Arabidopsis thaliana: one gene and its partners. The protein of the gene in region 4 interacts with the protein of the main gene of each other region in a pairwise test. Each region holds a gene or a part of one and is shown on either strand. Other genes may lie near its edges. The genes, in order: STK, AG, SHP1 and SEP1.

The links.
Region 1: the proteins of SEP1 (region 4) and STK interact in a two-hybrid assay, tested with the Arabidopsis thaliana proteins (one study listed by BioGRID).
Region 2: the proteins of SEP1 (region 4) and AG interact in a two-hybrid assay, tested with the Arabidopsis thaliana proteins (one study listed by BioGRID).
Region 3: the proteins of SEP1 (region 4) and SHP1 interact in a two-hybrid assay, tested with the Arabidopsis thaliana proteins (one study listed by BioGRID).

What each region holds. Positions count from the first base shown.
Region 1 is NC_003075.7:6,235,872-6,242,972, forward strand, and holds STK (K-box region and MADS-box transcription factor family protein), read right to left. Parts: upstream 5,411-7,101; 5' UTR 5,253-5,410; intron 5,155-5,252; 5' UTR 5,152-5,154; coding exon 4,868-5,151; exon of another isoform or gene 4,624-4,867; coding exon of another isoform or gene 4,547-4,623; exon of another isoform or gene 4,190-4,546; coding exon of another isoform or gene 4,161-4,189; exon of another isoform or gene 3,990-4,160; coding exon of another isoform or gene 3,988-3,989; intron 3,540-3,987; coding exon 3,357-3,539; intron 1,780-3,356; coding exon 1,698-1,779; intron 1,608-1,697; coding exon 1,546-1,607; intron 1,452-1,545; coding exon 1,352-1,451; intron 1,261-1,351; coding exon 1,219-1,260; intron 1,156-1,218; coding exon 1,102-1,155; intron 1,025-1,101; coding exon 842-1,024; 3' UTR 504-841; downstream 1-503. Other genes in the region: AT4G09950 (P-loop containing nucleoside triphosphate hydrolases superfamily protein), read left to right, coding at 8-145, 232-441. UniProt on the Arabidopsis thaliana protein: Probable transcription factor. Is required, together with TT16/AGL32 for the maternal control of endothelium formation, which is essential for female gametophyte development and fertilization, and seed formation.
Region 2 is NC_003075.7:10,381,305-10,388,879, forward strand, and holds AG (K-box region and MADS-box transcription factor family protein), read left to right. Parts: upstream 1-1,551; 5' UTR 1,552-2,376; intron 2,377-2,607; 5' UTR 2,608-2,612; coding exon of another isoform or gene 2,613-2,736; coding exon 2,737-2,842; intron 2,843-5,677; coding exon 5,678-5,767; intron 5,768-5,841; coding exon of another isoform or gene 5,842-5,849; coding exon 5,850-5,923; intron 5,924-6,025; coding exon 6,026-6,087; intron 6,088-6,174; coding exon 6,175-6,274; intron 6,275-6,360; coding exon 6,361-6,402; intron 6,403-6,486; coding exon 6,487-6,528; coding exon of another isoform or gene 6,529-6,561; exon of another isoform or gene 6,562-6,658; coding exon 6,659-6,855; intron 6,856-6,964; coding exon 6,965-6,968; 3' UTR 6,969-7,235; downstream 7,236-7,575. Other genes in the region: AT4G18970 (GDSL-like Lipase/Acylhydrolase superfamily protein), read right to left, coding at 7,571-7,575. UniProt on the Arabidopsis thaliana protein: Probable transcription factor involved in the control of organ identity during the early development of flowers. Is required for normal development of stamens and carpels in the wild-type flower.
Region 3 is NC_003074.8:21,736,523-21,742,304, forward strand, and holds SHP1 (K-box region and MADS-box transcription factor family protein), read left to right. Parts: upstream 1-1,637; 5' UTR 1,638-2,253; intron 2,254-2,360; exon of another isoform or gene 2,361-2,609; coding exon of another isoform or gene 2,610-2,627; coding exon 2,628-2,854; exon of another isoform or gene 2,855-3,394; intron 3,395-3,743; coding exon of another isoform or gene 3,744-3,781; intron 3,782-3,950; coding exon of another isoform or gene 3,951-3,987; intron 3,988-4,152; coding exon 4,153-4,234; intron 4,235-4,387; coding exon 4,388-4,449; intron 4,450-4,578; coding exon 4,579-4,819; intron 4,820-4,902; coding exon 4,903-4,944; intron 4,945-5,052; coding exon 5,053-5,244; downstream 5,245-5,782. UniProt on the Arabidopsis thaliana protein: Probable transcription factor. Interacts genetically with TT16/AGL32 in a partially antagonistic manner during flower development. Is essential for the coordination of cell divisions in ovule, seed coat development and endosperm formation.
Region 4 is NC_003075.7:16,371,808-16,375,667, forward strand, and holds SEP1 (stress enhanced protein 1), read right to left. Parts: upstream 1,930-3,860; 5' UTR 1,705-1,929; coding exon 1,659-1,704; intron 1,558-1,658; coding exon 1,447-1,557; intron 1,189-1,446; coding exon 1,010-1,188; intron 904-1,009; coding exon 799-903; 3' UTR 526-798; downstream 1-525. Other genes in the region: EDA9 (D-3-phosphoglycerate dehydrogenase), read right to left, coding at 2,234-2,905, 3,254-3,349, 3,440-3,860. UniProt on the Arabidopsis thaliana protein: May be involved in non-photochemical quenching, a process that maintains the balance between dissipation and utilization of light energy to minimize generation of oxidizing molecules, thereby protecting the plant against photo-oxidative damage.

The DNA of each region.
Region 1 (7,101 bases), about 10 Mb from region 4:
GTTCTAGGAGAATGAGGCCACTATAAAGGAAAAGCAGAAGCAGATTGAAGAAATGAAAGGTTGGTCTTCAAAACAAGAGATATCTCAAATGAAAAAGGAACTAGAGAAATCGCATAACGAAATGCTTGAGGGGATAAAAGAGAAGGTGATTAAATTCATTCATTGGTTTATATGTAACGTGTATATAAATGAATAATGTCATCATTACAAGTTGTTGTTTTCTTTGGTTAGATCTCTAATCAGCTGAAGGAATCATTGGAGGATGTGAAGGAGCAATTAGCTAAAGCACAAGCCGAGAGAGAGGAAACGGAGAAAAAGATGAATGAAATTCAGAAACTATCTTCTGATGAGATCAGGAGGCTAAGAGAACAACTCAACAAAGCTGAGAAAGAAACTGCTTCGTTACGCACCGAACTCAACAAGAAATGTACTGTTCTTTGATCATATCTTAAAATGTTCTATGTATGTATGATATGAAACAATAAACCAAAGTCTTGAAGGATTATTATACTAATACTTCATTGTACTATGAGCTAATAATACATCAAAAACATATGTTATGTTCTCTGTTGTTAAGTAATATGTAAATGCTATGTTTTATGGTCATATGAATCACTAAATAAGATACCATAGAATAGATACTATGATACGAAGCAATAAAAACTAGAGTATGTCTTAATCATTACACAACACAAATTGCAATGAGTCTTGAAGGACCAATACCTTCATTGTACTTTGAATTATTTTGCACCAAAACATATTTTATGTAGAGATAAATCTGAGCAAAGAATCCCCAGATGCATGCAGAGAGTTATTGCAGCTCGGTTTTTCGCAGACGAGATTATCCGAGATGAAGAATTTTCTTGTCGGGATCAGAGTAAGAACCTCCATTACCAGATCCAGAACCAGCAGTCATAATGCTATGAGCAAAGTAATTGCGTGAGGCTAAAGCTTCAATTGCATTAATCTCTGAACCACTAACCATTTGATGATGGTGTTGTTGATACCTCTCCACTTCTGCTACCTGTTAAGAAACATAAAAATTAGTATAACAAGTGATTGATTCGACATGTCTATGGACTTCACACACACTAATATTACCTTAGTTCTTAGATAGATGTTCTCATTGTCAAGCTCAATCTCCTGCAAAATTAACTATACCATATTCAAAGATTCACACAATTAAAATTTAGAGCAACCAACTTGAGCTTTGCTTACCCTTTTCTGCGCGTTTTCGATTTCAACTAAAAGCAACTCATGCTGTTTTTCACAAGAGCAGATTTAGAATATGTATTGTATAAACATAGATTCATGAAACTGATGAGTCTTGTAATATGTTTTAGATGTATACCTTCTTGGACCTGATCCTAGAGATAGCTTTCTCAAGGCGATTCTCAACTTGTTTTAGTTCCTTGACACTTAAGGAACTCAAAGAGTCTCCCATCAGATTCCTAAAACGTTATTAAAAATGTGTTACAATCAATAAATTTACATATATATATGGCTGGAAAAGATGGTAAAATATAGTTCAGATATATATAAAACCTGTTGGAGTTTTGAATCGTTTGGATCTGTTGTCTCAGCTTAGCAGATTCTTGTTGATAGTACTGTATTTCAAGCATCATCAAACTATAAGAACATATATGCATACGTATGTGATGTTAGTGAAGTAAAGAGATGGAGACAAAAAGTGAAACCGCGGCATTGATTTCTTGGACAGTGCTAGTGTTGGTGCTATCAGAACAAGCTTTCTTGTACCTCTCAATGGTTGATCTTATGCTGTCACAAATAACAATCCAATTAAGTCAGAAACATAGAGTACTTATGCAATTTATTAGCAATGTGGTAGTCTAATTAATTAAAAATTAGTGTCTAAAGAACAAATCAAGTATATTATGGCCACCATTTTTTATTTGTCTAAACGTAAACACAGATAAACAATTAGACCCCAATTAGTCTGAGCTAATTACACCCTAAAATGTTTTAAAATATATAAGATCTCATGAATTTTGTTTCATGTTTTGTCAAAAAAAACGTATATATTAAAATATTTGCATCTGTAGAAGGATCTTAATAGTTTAACTAATAAAGTAATTAAGAAGATCATCATATATGTTGCCTGTATCATTAACAAATTACAAACAATGTATATAAACTCTGAATAATGTGGAACAATAATAAGTTTTTTTTGTATTCAAATATGCAACTTTATTTAAAAATTGGGTTGTAACTGAAGGACAGAAAGTGGAGTTGATACTATGTGTCATGTAAAAAAGGAAAAAAAGAAACTGAATGTTTTGGATATATAATATCGTTTGAAGTGAGTGACTTTAAAGGAAATGGATATAAGATGAAAGAGCCAAAAAAAGAAAGGAGAAAACATGAAGCAATAGACTGATCTGCTTAAGATGAAAGAGGAAAGAAGAGTACAACAAAACTACATGACATCTCTCGCTGCACAATTGTTTTAAGTTCCAAGAAAAACTTTGACAAAAGCAAAAAAATAATCAAAAAGACTTGTTGACCAACTGCAACTGCAAGTTAGCTTGCATGATTTTGGTACTTAAACCCATTGTACTAGATTTTTCTCTTTCTCTATCTCTTTAAGATTTTCTTTTTTTGATAACCTGGCTTTTAAGATTTTCACAAGATACATAGGTAATATATGAAAAATAGTATGTATATATGATGTCAAAAAAATAGTATGTATATATAGTACTACTTTTGGACTTGTGTATATTTATGTTTACTTTTGTCAAATATGAAATATTCATGGGTATGCATATGTAAATATAGCTAAAAGTAAATATAGACTCATGAAATTGAAACTTCATATGTACATGTATATGTTATTTGTTAAGAACTTCATATGTGGGAGGACTCCAAGTGTGGTTCGCATCGAGATAACATCGAGGATATAGGAATTTATAATTATGCTAGGAAAAGTTTGCATTTACATGTATAAACGTTTATTTTTTCTTTGAATATAATTTAACATTAAATTCAAAAAAAAAAATGTATTTGTTATTTGTTATATGGTGTTGCTTAGTGTAGATTTTTTTTTTTTTTAAATGGTTCAACCTATAGAGTATAGACCAAAAAATCTCATCTCTAGATCAATCTCTTCTATATTTTATCTCTATTATTTTGCATCATTTTACTTCATAAACTAAGACACCTATACGAAAATATTGCAAAAGATAAATCTTTTTTGTAGCTCTAATGTATCTAATGGTAGCTCTTATAGTAATGATGCACTAAATTCATTTCTCAAACGATCACAAACAAAAGTTGGCACATTTTTCAAACCTTATATGTTTTATTAGGATATTTATGGTTGAAATGAAATGGCTTACTTGTTATTGGCGTATTCATAGAGACGGCCACGAGTGGAGAAAACAATGAGCGCAACTTCTGCATCGCAAAGGACCGAAAGCTCATAGGCTTTCTTCAGAAGTCCATTTCTTCTTTTGCAAAACGTCACTTGTCGATTTGTTGAGTTCTCTATCCTCTTTATTTCTATCTTTCCTCTTCCCATCCTTCATTTTAAACATCAAACAACACTTAGAATTGCTCAATTTCGGCAGTATTGGTAAGATAAATATTAACACACAAACTAGTGGCAGACTGCAAGAAGATAAAAAAAAAACTAAAGCTAGGGTTTGAATTAATGTACTTAATTAATACATACCAAACTCGACTTTTGTTATATATATTAAAAAAAAAGTTTTCTTTCTGTATCCAACTTTCTCGGGAAATTCAATTAAGGATGTTGTTGATTGATCTCAAGGACAGACAAGAATCAACTGAATCTGATGTTGTTGGAACTAGAGTTTAAGAATTTATTCAAATTACAAGATTATTAATATATATTACATGTAATTCTTGTTAGCTAGATAGGTTCTATATGTATTATCTATATACTTAACTAACTCATCAGGAATTGTTTTTTTAAAGCCAGGGAGATAAAATCTGACAATATATTACATGGTTTTTTGGTACCCAGATACAAATAATTTTGACCCATCCCGTGTACTATCTCCCTCCCTCTTCAATAAATGTCTATAAGGCTTCACGGGGTCAAAATGGAAAACAACATATACGTAATGATCTTAGATCTGGAAGATGTAAATACTTTAGACATATGTAATATGTCTTACAAATTCATTGATCTGATGTATGTAGGCATTCTTACGCATTCTTTAGTTTGTTTTCACAGAGCAAAAGATTAAATAACTTTTGATAAAGAAAAAAAATTGGAAATATGGAGAGAGAAAACAAATCAAATTGATATTGAAGAGGAAGAAGAAGAAGGCACTGATGCACATGAAACTGAAGTTATAGTACATAAGGGAAACACAAGAAACATTATTACACAGAAAGAAGAGAGAGACAAAACCATGCTTAGTTTCGAGAAGAGAGGAAGAAGAAATACAACAGATTTGGAAGATTTTCAGACTCAAAAACTCCACTTTAGCTGACAAGAAAGGAAAGAGAATCTAGCAGAGATCTACATGTGAGAAACTAAAAAAAAAAAAAAGATAACCTAATTCTTAATCTGGTGACCAAATAAAACCCTTGTGATCTTTCTTTCTCTTTCTTTCTTTCATGGGGAAAGAGCATCAAACAGAAGAAAGTAACAAAAATAAGGAAAATAATTCATAATTGTGAAAATTAAGTTTTCTGGAGAGACAAGGCAAGAAAAAAACCCATGATGACAAGAATTATTACAAGCTTGGAATCTGCATATATAGAGATATAAATGTAGAGTTTTTGAATGAAGAGATGTGTACAAAGATGGGAACTTGATGAGATCAAGAAGTGTTTTCCTTTATGAGAAGAAGAAGTAAAGACATGACAGACAGACCTGAGAATTTGCTTCACCCAACTCAATTCAGCTTTCGGAAACTCTCTTTCTCTTTCTTTCTCCTTTATAAAGAAAACAAAACAAAAGAAAGAAAAAAAAAATGAGGAAAGTTTATTTTGAGTTTTTTGAGAATCCCAAAAACAAACCCAAATTCTTTTCTCTTCAAAAACCCTAAGCTTCTCACTCAATATGTCTATTTGTAGACGTTTCTTTCTTTGCTCACCTTCCAATGTCCAAAGTGAGATTGCGATTGCTGCGGTTGCGGTTGCCACTTGCCAATGCATTTGCTATATTATAAAAAAAAACCTGAATCTTAATTTTGAATAGAAAAAATTTTAAGAATGAAAGGAAAAAATAACGAGCAACCAAAAAAAGTTATTTTAACCTTTCTTTTAAGCTAAATCGCACATATAAAGTATTAGTAGTATTTAAGATTCCTACAAAACTCTTAAGTGTGAGTATTTGTTGTTTAATTCTTATTTTTGTAGAGAAATGGAGACTCTAGCTAAGCTACATGCGCCATCATTTCATACTTTGGCCAAGTTCACGGCAAGACCAAGATTTGGGATCTCCGAAGATGCAATTATATTAATTGTTCTAACTTTCATTACTGGATATATAATGAGGTAAAAAAATTAATTGCATGGTAAAAAAAAGTGAAATAATAAAACCATGGTGTTTCAGTGATTAGGCTTATCATTATGAATTTATAATCTCAAATTTTGCAATTGCAATCACGGTTTTTTTAATTTCCCGGTTACAAAGAAAACTTCAAAAAAAACATTTATATAGTTTCACTAAAATATATAAAACAATAAGAAATAGTTTTTTTTTTGACAAAGAACAATAAGAAATATTTATTTCATTCTTAATATGATTGGCAGTACATTAAGGTTTAATTAGTTCATAACATATAATATTATTACTAAAATTTTGAAATTATTTTTAAAAATTAATTCTAAGATTGCGAGCAGTAGAAAATATATAGCTCCTTTCTTAAGCGACATTTTGTATTTTGAGACAGTCAACATTTTACCACATTATTGTCTTGTAATACTTTCTCGTTATTTTCAGTTTTTTGATGATTATAATAATTAATCTCCTCTCCAAAATGGTAAAAAGAAACAAAATAAGGAAAAAGTAAAAAAAAAAAAACATTCGTTAACTTTTTTTTACAACCATTTTCAGCCATATGTAAGGAACATATTTGAGGCATAATTTTTGTAATTGGAAGAATCCATGACCTAATCATTAACTAAATAATACATGAAGTTTAAATTTGCAAATTAAAGCGTCGATAGTGACCAACGATGAATTAATAGTAAAAATATGTGAGACTGTTAGTTAATAGTAAAATAGACGAACCCTATCATAAATCCAAAAGAAAATTATGCACCACTCAAAATATATAATTGTACCACCACTCGTTGGTTATTAGTGTTTTTTTTTTTAATTTAGACATGTGTGATTTATCATTTATACAACCTAACCTTTTACTTAACTTAAACATTTTAATACATATACATAACTTCCACGTAAATGTACGTACATATGTTTCATTCTTTCAAGAAAGTGAGAACATACCCAACAAAAACGAAATGAAAAGTTGACAGATAAATGTGTTATATATACACCTACATATTGAGATTAATATATGTATAATGTAAATTTTGAAATGATATATAATTTATATATTGAGAAGCAAATATTAAAATTTAAGATTTCTTTGGTGGAAAATTAAAGAGAAAGGTGAAATTGCAGAGCTTAATTTAGGGCTCGAAAGTGACACGCAAATTGTATTATTGCAGAAGAGAGAGACAGAGAGAGTAGATGTTGACGTTATTGGTGCATCTCCTCATTTATTTGCCCTAGCTAGTTTCCATCTTCTCTTTGACTCTTTCTTAAGCAAAATTTTGTTTTTATTTTCCTTCGTCAATCACACGAAACTCTAAAATCCAAAAACCCTTTTATGTATTACTAAGTTACCAAATATAAGTCACCCAAATTATTGTTACATCAATGTTTAGACTACGCTGTTTAGGAAGTCAAATGGCTCTTTCACGACAGCCTAAACATTAATTAAATTCAGAAATCTTACTTTAGATAGTTTATTTTTGCGAATAATATTATAGGGGCGTAGATAGATTCCATCCCCAATCCAACGATATAGTATATGGCTTAATATAATTAATACTTTTTTAATATGGTTTTAAAAATATTTTATTAAATAGAAG
Region 2 (7,575 bases), 6.0 Mb from region 4:
GCTACTCTCCCTCTTCTTTTGGCATAACCTTACTCCATTTATACATTGTGCTCCTCAATTATTCAACATTTTTTAAAAATAACTTATTTAACAAAATGTTAGAAAATATCTACCCAATTTTTTTCTTCCACATACGAGCTACAAAGATCTTTATCAAATAAAACAAGAAAGATTATTAATCCATATTTTGGGTTAAATTTTAATCCATTTAGCCAATTAGGAGAACTATTTTAACAGTTAGATACTTTTCAACAAAATTTATTAAGTAGTCACCTATGTATATTCATATAGTAGTTTCACAAACAATATGGAGAGCTGTGATCTTGAAGAGGGCGACAAAAGTCAAAAAGAAAATGTAAAAAAAGAGAGAGAGATTAAAGTAGTTGGAGAAGAGAGAAAAGTCTGGTTACCTTCTAATTGAGTCAGAAGCATTACACTTAAATAACTTTCCAAATTAAGCCCTACGTCTTGTCCAGCCCCTTAAAAGTACGCTTCATCTCCCTATTTCCCCTATAAACCCTAAAACCCTATTTATCTTATTAATTTATCATTTTTTTTATATGTCAATATCACAACAAGTAAACATCATCAACTTCAAATCTCACTAACATAAATAGTATGCTAATTTTCTTCACTATCTGAGTAATTTTCTCCTTCTTTTTACATCATTCGATTCTATATTTGCCACACCATTAAATAGATAAGTATATTGGTTCTTACTACTAATAATCAGTTTAGCCATATATCTAATTACACAGTTTTCTTTTATATGTTACTTTATATTTGTACACCATCAGTTACTATATACGGAATAAATTACACCTCATCATGTAATTACAATATTATCATAAATTTTTTGAAATTCTATTCTTTAATATTTTCAGTATCCAGAATCCATTTTCTTATATTTATTCTGGCAAAATAATGTAAAATGGTATCAAATATACAACACCATATATTTGTTTATAAATAACTTCCTTAATTAGTGAAACAAATTTTCCTGCAGAATGTCACTTAAATCTTTAAAACAATTCACAAAAGAAAAGGGAATAGAGCTGAAATTTTTTCCTCTTTAAAAAGATCAAGATTTAGTAAAAACTAGAAACAAAGAAGAAGATCGATATTTGTTGTAACAAAAAAATGTACTGATCAGATTTACCCAAAGATTTTAGTGCCTCAAAAACTTTCACATGAAAAGCAAAGACAAGTAATGGTAAGTAGAGTCTGCATCTCATGAGTGATTGCCCAACTTGAACCCTCTTTTCATTTAGACCTTTGTGAAAGACCACACAAGAACTACCCACCAATAACTCTCTCTTTTTTTCTTCATTTCCAAAAACTATTTATTCATTTCTACAATTTCTCAATTTGGGGGTGTCCTTAATAAGTATTATATTTATGAAAAGTCCGGATGTATGGTGGGTGTTATTTATGGTAATTAACACTATTTATTAATAATATTTTTCATGTGATTTCAAAAGCTGATGTACTCATGCTTTGTGAACCTTTAGATTGCTCTATGTCAATCTTTTATTTTAACCTATCATATGTCTAAATGTACTGAAAAGAAACACCAGTTTAATTAATTATACTTCCCTCATATATAACTATCAACCAAGTACAAAACTTTTGTCAATTCTCAAAATCAACTTTCACCACATAATTATCTAACATGTGTATGTTCCAAAACCAGTTTAAATAGAATTACTTTTCAGAAAATACATGTATATTAACTCTATCTAATAAAGAAGAAACACATACTTATCTCATAGATTCCATTCATAAAACTATGCTTTAGTGAGTAAGAAAACCAGTAATCAAACACAAATTGACAAGACACTATATGGATGTAAAAAGTGGGGAAAAATGGTGATAAATAGTAGAGAAAATTAAAAAGAAAAAAAATATTCCTTTATAAATGTATATACCCATCTCTTCACCAGCACAACCTTACCTTCCATTTTCTGCAACTTCTCCAAATCTCATACTTTCCAGAAAATCATTTTCCCAAGAAAAATAAAACTTTCCCCTTTGTTCTTCTCCCCCCAACAGGTCAGGCTAGTATTTTGTTGTTCCCCAATCCTTTCAAACATTATCTTCTTCATAATATTACTTTGCTTCACTTCTTTTGGTCCTTAAACCAAATTTTTGTTCTTCTTTAGTTTCCTTTTTTCCCGTTTTGATTTGATTCTTTTTATGTTATTTAGAGAGAAACAAGATTCACAAATTCTCTGATCTTCTTTAACTCTTTAAAACTTTTCTTTTTCACACTCTAGATTTAAATTATCCCTATGGTTACAAAACAATTTTGTTCTTAGTTTATAACTTGTGTATTACCATCCTTTCTTGATTAACTCTTGTTAGGAGAATATGAATGTAAGATCAATAAAGTTCTTCAACTTTATAATTCCTTCTATAAGATGTGTGTCGGCAACAGAATTAAATTAAATCTTTATAGTTTAACTTTAATCTCAACCATAATTCAAAAGAATAGAAAACATGAAGAATCTTGAGTCTTTTCAAGAAAATCTTGATTGGTTTTTTGTTGGATTCTTGTAATTCTGTACTAATCAAATTTTGCCCTAAACGTTTTTGGCTTTGGAGCAGCAATCACGGCGTACCAATCGGAGCTAGGAGGAGATTCCTCTCCCTTGAGGAAATCTGGGAGAGGAAAGATCGAAATCAAACGGATCGAGAACACAACGAATCGTCAAGTCACTTTTTGCAAACGTAGAAATGGTTTGCTCAAGAAAGCTTACGAGCTCTCTGTTCTTTGTGATGCTGAAGTCGCACTCATCGTCTTCTCTAGCCGTGGTCGTCTCTATGAGTACTCTAACAACAGGTTTCTTCTTCTTCTCGTGCTCTGTTCTTACTTTATTAATAATTAAATTATTTTTAAAGTCCGATTTAGGGTTTTATGTTTATGTTAAAGCATAAATCTTTTACGAGGGTTTTCGATCTTCTAAGCTAGATTTGATTCTCTTCTTCTTGAATGCTCTTATGGGTAGGATTATTTTTCACTTTTTTCCTTCATATTCCACACACATATATATATAAACACACTAACATTAGTGGGAATATTTGTTTGATATGTTTATTTTATTTACTTCGGGGGTTTTTGTAACAATTTTGTAGATCTAATTTCTTGTTCTTCATGTGTATATTAATTTTCCCTTAAGACTTAAATAAAAAGAGAGAATTTGTTATATATAGATATATGAAGTGAGGGAAATGGTACAAAGTTAAAGGAGATCTGAGTGAGAGTTAGATAATAAATGAAAAGAAATAAGAAACCATCAGGGTTTTTTCTAATGTGGAGTTTTAGATTCAGTTTTGTAGAACTAAGATTCACTTTGTTGGGTGTTCTTTCTTCACTCATTTCTGTTATTATAATAATAATAAAATCTTATATCTTTCTATTTTCCTTACTAACAAGTACTTGAAGATTTAGATATATTTATAGATCTGGTGTTGTAATAGGTAAAAACTTGATTTTTATGACTATAAAAGTAAGTTTTGGGAAACAAATTGGGGAGAGAGTAAGGAAGGACTATGAGGTCATATCTTCTGTTTTGTGATCATCCATCCTCCATTGTTGTTAATGTCTGTGTCTCTCTTTTTCTTCTCTTCTTTCTCTTACTTTCCTTTCTTATCTCTAGCTCTCTTTCTCTCTCATGAATTATATCATATCATATATTTGATACAAACACATGTGATGGTAAGTGAGAGTGAATAAGGTGAAACTAGCTAGATTTTTGAGTTTTCATGAAATTTTAACTTATATGAGTGATAGAAAATAATGGAACTTATACGTACATGTAGGACAATTTAGATGGTTATCTAAGTTTTTGTTTTTGTTTTCTCTTGAGAATGTTAAATGTTAGTGTTATTTTTGTAGTTTTGGAAAATTATATATGAGCTAAGATTAGTTTAGAAGTGGTCAAAAGAAACATAGATTTGAAATTTCAACTGAATTTTCAAGATTTCAAATAGTCAATGAAACAAGGAGGTAATTAAGACAAATTAGCTTATGGGGACTCTTTTTTGTTATTCCTTAAAATTACTCTTTTTAAAATTAAAAATAACTAATCTCATTTCGAACTACATTACTCAAACTAGTAATCTCTAATTCGACACGCAATTTCCAAATACTTATTAGTAGAGAGTCCCACGTGATTACTTTCTTCTCCACCAAAACATAAAACATGTCAAGATTAAATGGTGTTTGAAAATTAAAAGATCAATTTTCTTAATCGTTTACAGTTGTCAACTCTCATGTCCTGAAATATATAATTCTCATGTCCAAAACAAGAAAAGCTAACAACGACTTCAAATTAAATCAGTCAATCAAAATTAGTCTTCATTTACCTACTAATTTCTTTTTATATATCCGATGGGTACTCTACGAAATCAGAGTTTCGTTTCTTTATTTATTTTCTTTTATAAGATTTTTGAGGTTTTTTCAGAGGTTGGAATTGAGCGCAAGATTAGGTTTTGGGTCTGTAAGATTTGTTGTCTTTGTTAAAGAATCTTTGATCACGTCATCACTCAGATATTATTTCTTTTTATTTTTCACTTGTATTTTTACTAATTTATTATAAAGTTTTGTTAGTTTCAGTTCTTGACTTCTGACAAGAAGGTTTTATGTCATAATGAATTAATTTGTAACCTATTTATAAATTCAAAAATGTCATCATATTACTACTTTTGACCATTTAATATTAGATTTCTCATTTGGTCAATACCCAATGTTCATATTACATATATAGAGACAAAAATTATAAGGATACTAAATTGTTCATATTTCTTGGAAGTAAAAAGATTAATGATCACTGAATAAATAGATTTGGCATAGAAGTATAGCATTGGAATTGCTTCAACATCTTTGGTGTAGATAGATTTATGCAATTTCTCTTTCTTTTTGAAGTATCTTTTTTTTTTCTAGAGAGAGAATAATGTTAGGGATTTTTATCATTTTCTCTCTCATTATGGGTACTGAGAGGAAAGTGAGATTTTTAGTACGGATCCAATAGTTTAAGAGTTTGGTCTGCCTTCTACGATCCAAAAAAATCTACGGTCATGATCTCTCCATCGAGAAGGTTGAGAGTTCAGACATCAAAGTCTATAATATGTCATTGTAATACGTATTTGTGTATATATATCTATGTACAAGTACATATACAGGAAACTCAAGAAAAAAGAATAAATGGTAAATTTAATTATATTCCAAATAAGGAAAGTATGGAACGTTGTGATGTTACTCGGACAAGTCATTTAGTTACATCCATCACGTTTAAATTTAATCCAATGGTTACAATTTTAATACTATCAAATGTCTATTGGATTTATACCCAATGTGTTAATGGGTTGTTGACACATGTCACATGTCTGAAACCCTAGACATGTTCAGACCAATCATGTCACTCTAATTTTGCCAGCATGGCAGTTGGCAGCCAATCACTAGCTCGATAAATTTAAGGTTTCAGAGGAATTTTAATTTATTTAGGGTTCATATTGTTTCATAAAATGATTCTTTATTTGTTACAACTTTAAGGAAATATTTTATTAACTATTTAATTGTTCCCTTTTCTTATATTACTTTTGTTTTTTCTTCACATCATGTGTCACATTAAGTTGCATTTCTTCTGACTCAAAAGAACCGATGTTTGCTTTTAAGGTTTCGTATTAGAATCACTTAACTGTGCAAGTGGTCGATTTGACCCTATCAATTTTATTTTTTATTACTTATCAAAATGCAGATTTAAGCGTAGATTAAGTTTAGAAAATAGGTAGTTAATAGGTCTAATTAACTTATTAATTCCTTTAAAAAAATTATTGCAGTGTAAAAGGGACTATTGAGAGGTACAAGAAGGCAATATCGGACAATTCTAACACCGGATCGGTGGCAGAAATTAATGCACAGGTAAGTGGTAACTTAATATTACACGAATGATTTTAATTAATATATGATGACATGACAACATTGTTCATTCTTTTACTCTTTTTTTTTTTGTTGTTGTTGTAGTATTATCAACAAGAATCAGCCAAATTGCGTCAACAAATAATCAGCATACAAAACTCCAACAGGTTAATTATCTAACTGACTTGAAATATTTGATTACTTGGTTGTTATTAACTATTTGATATATTAACATATGTTGATAAATCAATTAGGCAATTGATGGGTGAGACGATAGGGTCAATGTCTCCCAAAGAGCTCAGGAACTTGGAAGGCAGATTAGAGAGAAGTATTACCCGAATCCGATCCAAGAAGGTAATTCTATTTTTTTTATAAATGCTTCAATATAATATCAAATTAAATCTATATGCCTTGTTGCTAATTTTTGTTTAATTTTACAGAATGAGCTCTTATTTTCTGAAATCGACTACATGCAGAAAAGAGTAAGAAATAAATCTTAACTTAATTTCTATTCTTAATATGTTCTTATAATAATTTTGCTCATTTGCATTGCACCGATTAAGCAGGAAGTTGATTTGCATAACGATAACCAGATTCTTCGTGCAAAGGTAAAAGTACACATTATATATCAATTTCTATAATTTTCCCTATTGTTTCAATAAATATTATATGAAAACGATTAAAATGGTGAAAGTACTTGTAGATAAATAGTTTATGACATATATTTGTGTAATGTAGATAGCTGAAAATGAGAGGAACAATCCGAGTATAAGTCTAATGCCAGGAGGATCTAACTACGAGCAGCTTATGCCACCACCTCAAACGCAATCTCAACCGTTTGATTCACGGAATTATTTCCAAGTCGCGGCATTGCAACCTAACAATCACCATTACTCATCCGCGGGTCGCCAAGACCAAACCGCTCTCCAGTTAGTGTAAGGACACAAAATCTTGCTCCGATCAATCATTCTAGTCTTATATTATTAATCGGTCCATTTTGTAAAACTTGACAGCATGGATTTGGTCTTTTATGCTGTTTTGTAGGTAATATAGGCTGAAGGAAATGGCCGGGAGTGAATAAAAACCAGAATTGGGTTGAGCAAGCAATATAAAGCTAATGCATGTTATATATATATTTATCCCATGAATGTTGTATCAGTGAATTTTATGCTTATGTTGATGTGAAATTAATATCTTAAAGACATGTCATTAATGTGCTTAATTTGCTTCAAAACATCTATGTGTATAAGTGTACTATTAGTTCAATTGTTGTATTTAATTACCAATTCCTGCTCTATTAATGATTTTATTATAGAAAAGTCTCAATATGATAATGATATATATTCATGTGCTGAGTTCCATCCTCCTCCTCCTTCTCCCCATGTGGTACAGTTGCAAAATGTCGAAACATTCGTTCATTTTGTAGCTGCCTACCAGGAATACATTCACCACCCGGTCTCAATATCTCGCGTCTTGCTCGGTGAAAACACATACAAGAGTATTAACCATATTTTCTTTAAATGCACATACAATAGCTTATCTCTGCCTAGCTTCATTTCGTAAACCAAGAGCAAACATTATCGGATGGCTCCATACCTGTTCTCAATAAATCATGGTCATAATCAAGCTCATTTTCCTAGCCTCCGGTTACTAGA
Region 3 (5,782 bases), on a different chromosome or scaffold from region 4:
AGAGATAATGCTTATTCCCTAATATGTTGCCAGCCAAGTGTCAAATTGGCTTTTTAAATATGGATTTCTGTATCAGTGGTCATATTTGTGGATCCAACGTATTCATCATCAAGTTCTCAAGTTTGCTTTCAGTGCAATTCTAATTCACACGTTTAACTTTAACATGCATGTCATTATTATTACTTCTTCACTAAGACACAATACGGCAAACCTTTCAGATTATATTATCTCCATAAATGAAATAATTAACCTCATAATCAAGATTCAATGTTTCTAAATATATATGGACAAAATTTACACGGAAGATTAGATACGTATATTAGTAGATTTAGTCTTTCGTTTGTGCGATAAGATTAACCACCTCATAGATAGTAATATCATTGTCAAATTCCTCTCGGTTTAGTCGCTAAATTGTATCTTTTTTAAGCCTAAAAGTAGTGTATTCGCATATGACTTCTCGTCCTAACTTTTTTTTTAATTAACAAAAAAATCGAAAAGAAAATAATCTGTTAAATATTTTTTAAGTACTCCATTAAGTTTAGTTTCTATTTAAAAAATGCTTGAAATTTGACAGTTATGTTCAACAATTTTGAATCATGAGCGATGTCTAGATACTCAGAATTTAATCAAGATGTCTTATCAAATTTGTTGTCACTCGAGGACCCACGCAAAAGAAAAGACTAATATGATTTTTATTTGGTCTGGATATTTTTGTAGAGGATGAAACTAAGAGAGTGAAAGATTCGAAATCCACAATGTTCAAGAGAGCTCAAAGCACAAAGAAAAATGAAGATGAAGGACTAAAGAACAATAAGCAACTACTTATACCCTATTTCCCATAAAGGATTCAGGTACTAGGAGAAGTTGAGGCAAGTTTCACATGCAAGTCCCTGTCATCATATATCCATATTATACCACACCTACGTCTCTATGTGTATTTCTTGGCATCGACTTTCTCATGAATGATTCAAATTTTCATTTATTTTTACAATTTAATTCACCTAAGATTATTATGCATTTCTCATCATTGGTACATTTTCTGTATAGCGTATTTACATATATGAAATAAATTAAATATGTCCTCACGTTGCAAGTAGTTAATGAATGTCCCCACGCAAAAAAAAAATCCCTCCAAATATGTCCACCTTTTCTTTTTAATTCCAAAATTACCATAAACTTTTGGTTTACAAAAGATTTCTAGAAATTGAGGAAGATATCCTAAATGATTCATGAATCCTTCAATAATCTGAAGTTTGCGATATTTTCCGATTTTCTTCAAGAGTTGCGATATTTGTAATTTGGTGACCTTAAAACTTTTTTTGATAAAGAGTAAAACGTTTTTTCTTAAAAGTAAAACTTGATTTTATGTTTTAGGGTTCTAGCTCAACTTTGTATTATATTTCTTGCAAAAAGAGTTCGTTAACTGCATTCTTCAACACTATAAAGTGATTATCAAAAACATCTTCATGAACATTAAGAAAAACAATATTTGGTTTCGGTTAGAGCTTGGTTTTGCTTGGCTTGATTCACATACCCATTCTAGACTTTGGCATAAATTTGATACGATAGAGAGCATCTAATGGTAATGCAGAAGGGTAAAAAAGGAAGAGAGAAAAGGTGAGAAAGATTACCAAAAATAAGGAGTTTCCAAAAGATGGTTCTGATGAGAAACAGAGCCCATCCCTCTCCTTTTCCCCTTCCCATGAAAGAAATCGGATGGTCCTCCTTCAATGTCCTCCACCTACTCTTCTCTTCTTTCTTTTTTTCTTTCTTATTATTAACCATTTAATTAATTTCCCCTTCAATTTCAGTTTCTAGTTCTGTAAAAAGAAAATACACATCTCACTTATAGATATCCATATCTATTTATATGCATGTATAGAGAATAAAAAAGTGTGAGTTTCTAGGTATGTTGAGTATGTGCTGTTTGGACAATTGTTAGATGATCTGTCCATTTTTTTCTTTTTTCTTCTGTGTATAAATATATTTGAGCACAAAGAAAAACTAATAACCTTCTGTTTTCAGCAAGTAGGGTCTTATAACCTTCAAAGAAATATTCCTTCAATTGAAAACCCATAAACCAAAATAGATATTACAAAAGGAAAGAGAGATATTTTCAAGAACAACATAATTAGAAAAGCAGAAGCAGCAGTTAAGTGGTACTGAGATAAATGATATAGTTTCTCTTCAAGAACAGTTTCTCATTACCCACCTTCTCCTTTTTGCTGATCTATCGTAATCTTGAGAACTCAGGTAAGGTTGTGAATATTATGCACCATTCATTAACCCTAAAAATAAGAGATTTAAAATAAATGTTTCTTCTTTCTCTGATTCTTGTGTAACCAATTCATGGGTTTGATATGTTTCTTGGTTATTGCTTATCAACAAAGAGATTTGATCATTATAAAGTAGATTAATAACTCTTAAACACACAAAGTTTCTTTATTTTTTAGTTACATCCCTAATTCTAGACCAGAACATGGATTTGATCTATTTCTTGGTTATGTATTCTTGATCAGGAAAAGGGATTTGATCATCAAGATTAGCCTTCTCTCTCTCTCTCTAGATATCTTTCTTGAATTTAGAAATCTTTATTTAATTATTTGGTGATGTCATATATAGGATCAATGGAGGAAGGTGGGAGTAGTCACGACGCAGAGAGTAGCAAGAAACTAGGGAGAGGGAAAATAGAGATAAAGAGGATAGAGAACACAACAAATCGTCAAGTTACTTTCTGCAAACGACGCAATGGTCTTCTCAAGAAAGCTTATGAACTCTCTGTCTTGTGTGATGCCGAAGTTGCCCTCGTCATCTTCTCCACTCGTGGCCGTCTCTATGAGTACGCCAACAACAGGTACGCTTCTCCTACTCTATTTCTTGATCTTGTTTTCTTAATTTTAACTAAACAAGATCCTAGTTCAAATGATAACAAAGTGGGGATTGAGAGCCAAGATTAGGGTTTGGTTAATTTAGAAAACCAGATTTCACTTGTTGATACATTTAATATCTCTCTAGCTAGATTTAGTACTCTCTCCTCTATATATGTGTGGGTGTGTGTGTAAGTGTGTATATGTATGCAAATGCAAGAAGAAGAAGAAAAAGTTATCTTGTCTTCTCAAATTCTGATCAGCTTTGACCTTAGTTTCACTCTTTTTTCTGCAAATCATTTGAACCTGATGCATGTCAGTTTCTACAATACACTTTTAATTTTGACGGCCCATCAAATTTCCTAGGGTTTACTTCAGTGAAAAAAATTGGGTTCTTGACACGATTTAGCATATATATATAAAAATAGGGGATGATCAAGACTTATGTAACCTCTGTCTGGTGAAACTAGGGACAAAGTCTACTGATGAGTTGTCACTAGGGATCCATTTGATCATTTAATCCCAACAAAAATGAAACAAAATTTTGAGAATTTATATGCTGAAGTTTTTCAACCCTCTTTTTTAAATAACTTTATATTATGTAGATTTGTATTTAGGGTAATTTGTCCAACTAGAAGTCCTAAAAATCAATAAACACACGGATGACTTTGTCTAACATTGTTATCAGTCATCAAATGTAAAATTGTACAAATAATGAAATTAAAGATTTAGTCTCTTTTATTTTTTTTGTTTAGGGTGTATATATATATATATATGTATATTTGTTGCATTGATATATCAATGAGAGGGAGAGAACTCAGAGAAGTGTCGGAAATTAAAATGGTACGAGCCAATTGGAATCTCTGGCATTCTGAGCTTCATTTATTTGTTATTAGAAAAAAAAAAAAAAAAAAGTCCTTTAAAGATACCTTCATGATGACATTGAATCATGTAATATACACGATACATGGTCTAATTCCTCCTCAAACCCTAATTACCAATTTCGAAACCATAATATTTACTAGTATGTTTATATATCCTTACTTTAAGACATTGTTTGTTTATAATACCTTGTGAATTAAGAAAAAAAAAAAAACTTGTGGATCTATTCAAGCCATGTGTTAGAATAAATTTATAAATTTTCTCCTCGTACTGGTCAGATATTGGTCCAAACTCCAAAGCCTTCCCTTTTCAGGAAAAAAAACATTTCGAAATTAACTCTAATTAATCAAGAATTTCCTACAATGTATACATCTAATGTTTTTTCCGCGATCTTACTTATTAGTGTGAGGGGTACAATTGAAAGGTACAAGAAAGCTTGTTCCGATGCCGTCAACCCTCCTTCCGTCACCGAAGCTAATACTCAGGTACCAATTTATATTGTTTGATTCTCTTTGTTTTATCTTCTTCTTTTCATTATATATATGATCAACAAAAAATATAACCTACAAAAAGAGAGAGTTCTTGGAAATGCATTGAAACGGTTTCGTTATGGTGTTTGAATACATGGATTTTTGAAGTACTATCAGCAAGAAGCCTCTAAGCTTCGGAGGCAGATTCGAGATATTCAGAATTCAAATAGGTAATTCATTAACTTTTCATGAACTCTTCGATTTGGTATTAGGTCACTTAATTTGGTGTCGGTCCAAAAGTCCGCTTGTAGTTTTCTTTAGAAGTTGTTTTGTTTAATGTTCATGTTTACAAATTGAAGGCATATTGTTGGGGAATCACTTGGTTCCTTGAACTTCAAGGAACTCAAAAACCTAGAAGGACGTCTTGAAAAAGGAATCAGCCGTGTCCGCTCCAAAAAGGTAAAATCTACGTTGCTCTCTCTCTGTGTCTCTGTCTCTCTCTCTATATATAGTCCCTTAGTTTATATAGTTCATCACCCTTTTGTGAGAATTTTGCAGAATGAGCTGTTAGTGGCAGAGATAGAGTATATGCAGAAGAGGGTAAGAACGTTTCTCCCATTCCAAGTAATTAGATCTTTCTTCGTCTTTGTGAGGGTTTGAGTTTTCCCATAAATCATGTGTAGGAAATGGAGTTGCAACACAATAACATGTACCTGCGAGCAAAGGTTAGCCACGTTCTGTTCCAAATCTTAATCTCAATATCTACTCTTTTCTTCATTGTATAACTAAGATAACGTGAATAACAAGAAAACTTTTGTTTTTGGGTTTAATAGATAGCCGAAGGCGCCAGATTGAATCCGGACCAGCAGGAATCGAGTGTGATACAAGGGACGACAGTTTACGAATCCGGTGTATCTTCTCATGACCAGTCGCAGCATTATAATCGGAACTATATTCCGGTGAACCTTCTTGAACCGAATCAGCAATTCTCCGGCCAAGACCAACCTCCTCTTCAACTTGTGTAACTCAAAACATGATAACTTGTTTCTTCTCCTCATAACGATTAAGAGAGAGACGAGAGAGTTCATTTTATATTTATAACGCGACTGTGTATTCATAGTTTAGGTTCTAATAATGATAATAACAAAACTGTTGTTTCTTTGCTTAATTACATCAACATTTAAATCCAAAGTTCTAAAACACGTCGAGATCCAAAGTTTGTCATACAAGATTAGACGCATACACGATCAGTTAATAGATTTTAAGTGCCTTTTAATATTTACATATAGTTGCAGCTTCGATTAGATCATGTCCACCAAACACTCACAATTAGAGACAAGCAAAACTATAAACATTGATCATAAAATCATTACAACATGTCCATAAATTAATTATGGATTACAAAAATAAAAACTTACAAAAGATCTATAATGTGATAAATTAATGTGTAGCTATAATTAAACAAAATTACATTTTTTACTATAGTTACTACTTGAGATAATGATCTCAAAAAGAAGCTTCATACGCTTAAAGTCTAATTTGATACTGTCCTTTATCTAAATT
Region 4 (3,860 bases):
CCATTGTTGGCCAATTGGTGGAGAGATTGTAAATTTGTAATAATGGGGGAATTGAGTTAGTGGTGGTGGATACTGGACAGGCCTAGCCCAACATACAGGGACGGGGTTATTATACCTTTTGCCTTCCAAAATTGTTTTTGTTTTAGACAGCCCATAGTGATGGGCCGGCCCACCATGAGCACACTGATCCAGAGCCTCTCCCTTTTTTCAATGCATTTAGCTTACAAAAGCAAAAGGTCAGAGATTTGCATATGAATTTAATTGACTAACTCCAAAGTATTGATTTTGAACAAAGCTATGCATAAGAAACTTCTTGGTTACTGTTTTGTTTCAAAGAATCTGATGATGTTTGTAACATATGTGAAACTGCAACTTTCTGAAAGTTTATTTTTGTTGTTTATTTCTGATTCTAAAAGTAAACGGTTAGGTGAATTTGTTTGTTAGCGTTGTGATAAATTTTTAACACTTTTTTATTTATTAAAAAATGTTTTCAAACTTCTATTTTTGTATTATTACTATTAAAACTTTGGATATTTCTTTTTCAAATAATATTTTGGTTATTTTTGTTACAAAAATTTTGTTATGTTTTCAAACTTAATACATGTTATAGATCATGTATTAAAAATATAAAAATAAGATTTGGCCAAAAGACATGTATAGATCATGTATGTTGCCAAAAAAAACTAAGAATGTAAGATTCTCCACTGATGGATGTAGAAGTTACAGTGATATATAATACAAGATTCTTAATACAAGAAAATGATCCTCGGCAGCATCACAAAACAAGATTCTTGTCGATCAGTTTTTAGAAGAAGATTGGAAGATGAAAACCGCAGCTAGAACACCAACCAATGCTGTAACAGCTAAAGCAACCGTAGGCAATGGACTTGCTACTCCAAAATTCTGAAATAAGAAGACAAATCAAATCTTAAGTTATTCTACTTCTCTTACATTTCTCAAACTTTCAACTTTTATATAAGCAACAATATCAGTTATGATGTTTGATTACCTCAAGAAGTCCTTTTCCAGTGGAAATCTCAACAGTAATGGCAACTGCAAAACCAACCATGGCGCCACGACCAAGCCATATATCCAAACCACTGCTTCCTTCTGTACTTTGCTCACTTCTTATGGAAACTGATGCTGCTCTGTTTCCTCCTCTACGGGTCATACTCAACTTCAATGGCACTGAAACGGACACACACAACATACAAAAACGAAAGAAACAAAGTTTCAATTTTTCCATGGATTTACTCAGCTAACAAAGACAATGCAGAAAGCAAAATTAGAAAACTTTATGATAAATATTGTTGCCCCATATTTCAGATAACCAAACTATATATGAACAATTCAGTAATCAGAAATATCAAAATTTGAGCCCAATTTCAAACTAAACTTCAAAATGTAGAGAATTGAAGAATTTTCTCAGGGGCAAGGAAGACGTACAGAGAGGAGAACCAGAAGCGAAGGTGGATCGGATTCCAGCAAGTTGCGGAACATGAACCCGACATGTAGAAGTTGGGTTTGTGATTGTGGCTAGCTTTAGGGCACCAGAATCTGGAAACATGAAATCCGAAACTAGTCAGATACATACATTATAGAGACAATTGTACAACTAGAGGAAGAAGAAGGGTAGCGAAGAGAGAAAGAAAGAGTACTGGGAAGAGAAAAGGCGAGAGACGCAGACACTTGAGATAAGGCCATCTTCCTTCTACGTAGATATCACAAGACTCTCCCTTTCTTCTTCTTCTACTATTCTCCTTCCTTCGTCTTCCTTTCTCAAGAGTCGCAGAATTATCTGTTCAAGCTGAGGACACGTGTTTTCTCTCCACTCATTAAGTTCGTATCTTTTCGAGCTACACAGTTTTCCAAAACGGTGGCGTTTCACAAACAACTGCATCTCTTAGAGCAAACCGAACCTAATCTGAACCAAACCAAACCAATTTTGAAAAATTGGATTGGCTTAATTAACAGATTCTCTACGATAGTTACATCGGTTCGTTCAATTGGGTTATAAACCAATTTGTGGTCACTAATATTCAGGAAATAAATATTCAGAGAAGAAAGAAGCACTCAAGTAATAGAAACCATAAAGTTGAAACATCAAAGAGACACTACTCTCAACGTTACCAAAACTGTATGAAAGCCAAAATAACATTATTGCCTAAACCAACAAACAACATCAAATCTTCACCGGTGAGATTTAAGATTCAAGAATCAACAACACACCAAACTAGAGCTTGAGGAAAACGAACTCCTCAACCGCTGGAATTTCCCCAATCTTCTTCAGTGTCTCTTTGCTTGGTATGTCATCTACTCCAATCGCCATAATCGCTTGCTTCCTCGGTGCAATTCTCCCAACGCTCATGAAGTTAACATTGACATTAGACTCTCCAAGGATGCTTCCGACAGTCCCGATCATACCAGGTTGATCCACCTGCCTGCACAGTATGATACTACCTTCAAGAGTTACATCGACCTCAAAAGATCCAACCTTTGTCAAATGCGGGACTCCGTCTTTAACCTTTCCTTCCACTTTAACCTCTCCTGATTCAGACAGGGAACTGGCGAATTTGGACTCCACATTGCTTAGCTGAACAGTTATTGTCTCCAATGGGCTCTCTGGTGAACCATCCAAAAGCACACGTTCCTCTGAGAGTCTGAGACCTCTCTGCTTGGCTGTGAAATCAGCGTTGACCAAATTGACATATACGTCAGAGATTGGCTCGATGATTCCCTTGGTGATCATGGCTCGGAGAAGTCTGGTGTCAAGATCATCAGTGGCTCTTGCTGAGGCGTATGTGATTTTCGCGTTTTTCACACCGCTTCCTCCGGCCACCAGTTGCACTGCCAGTCTTCCTAGTTTCTCGGCTAGCACCACATATGGTTTCAGCTCGGTCAGAACCTGCAGATAGAATGCATGTAAGCTTGAGCAAATAACAAACATGGATAGTCTTAACAATTGAAATCTTCCAACTTGAATCTGATAAGAACAAAGCTATAAACCTTGCTAGTCTAAAATCCAATTCAGAAATCACAGAAACTTGATTAATGAGGCTCTTAAAACAAATCCCTAGAAAACCCACCCTCACTTCAACAATTTTGCCGCTCACTAACTTCTTTCTAACCAACTCGGAACAAATATAATTTGCTACATTCATTCCCAGGCTAGCTACAGTAAATAGGCTGATAAGTTTGCCTCTTTGAAACAACACCAATATGTGTGTATTTACTAGCACAAGCGAGTGCTCACCTCAGCAGAAACCATAGGTGCATTGACTGCAGTAGCAGCAAGCTCTCCATTCAGAGCTCCAACAACAGCTTCAGCAATTTCGATGGCAACTCCTTCCTGTCAAAGCCAAAACACCAACTATATAACAGAAGCCAAACAGAAATTTCATGATTAATTATCACCTGAACTGTAAAATGAATTGCACACCTGAGCCTCCATGGTACTAGCTCCAAGATGAGGTGTCACAGTGACCCTCTCGTGCTGCACGAGCTTGCTATCTTTAGCCGGAGGCTCTTTGGTGAAAACATCAAGTGCAGCCTGCGCAACAATACCAGCATCCAGAGCTCTCACTAACGCATCTTCGTCTATGACACCTCCACGAGCAACATTAACAATTCGAACTCCCTTCTTCATTTTGGCAAAGGTTTCGTCGTTTAGTATCTTCGATGTTGTTGGCGTAAGAGGCATATGAAGAGAAATGAAATCCGCGGTGGCAAGGGCTTCATCAAAGCTCACTAAGTCAACACCAATGGCGTGTGCACGGTCTGCTGGGGCATAGGGATCATGAGCAATGACACGCATACCAAGACCCTTAGCACGACGAGCAACTTCCGTCCCAACTTTCCCG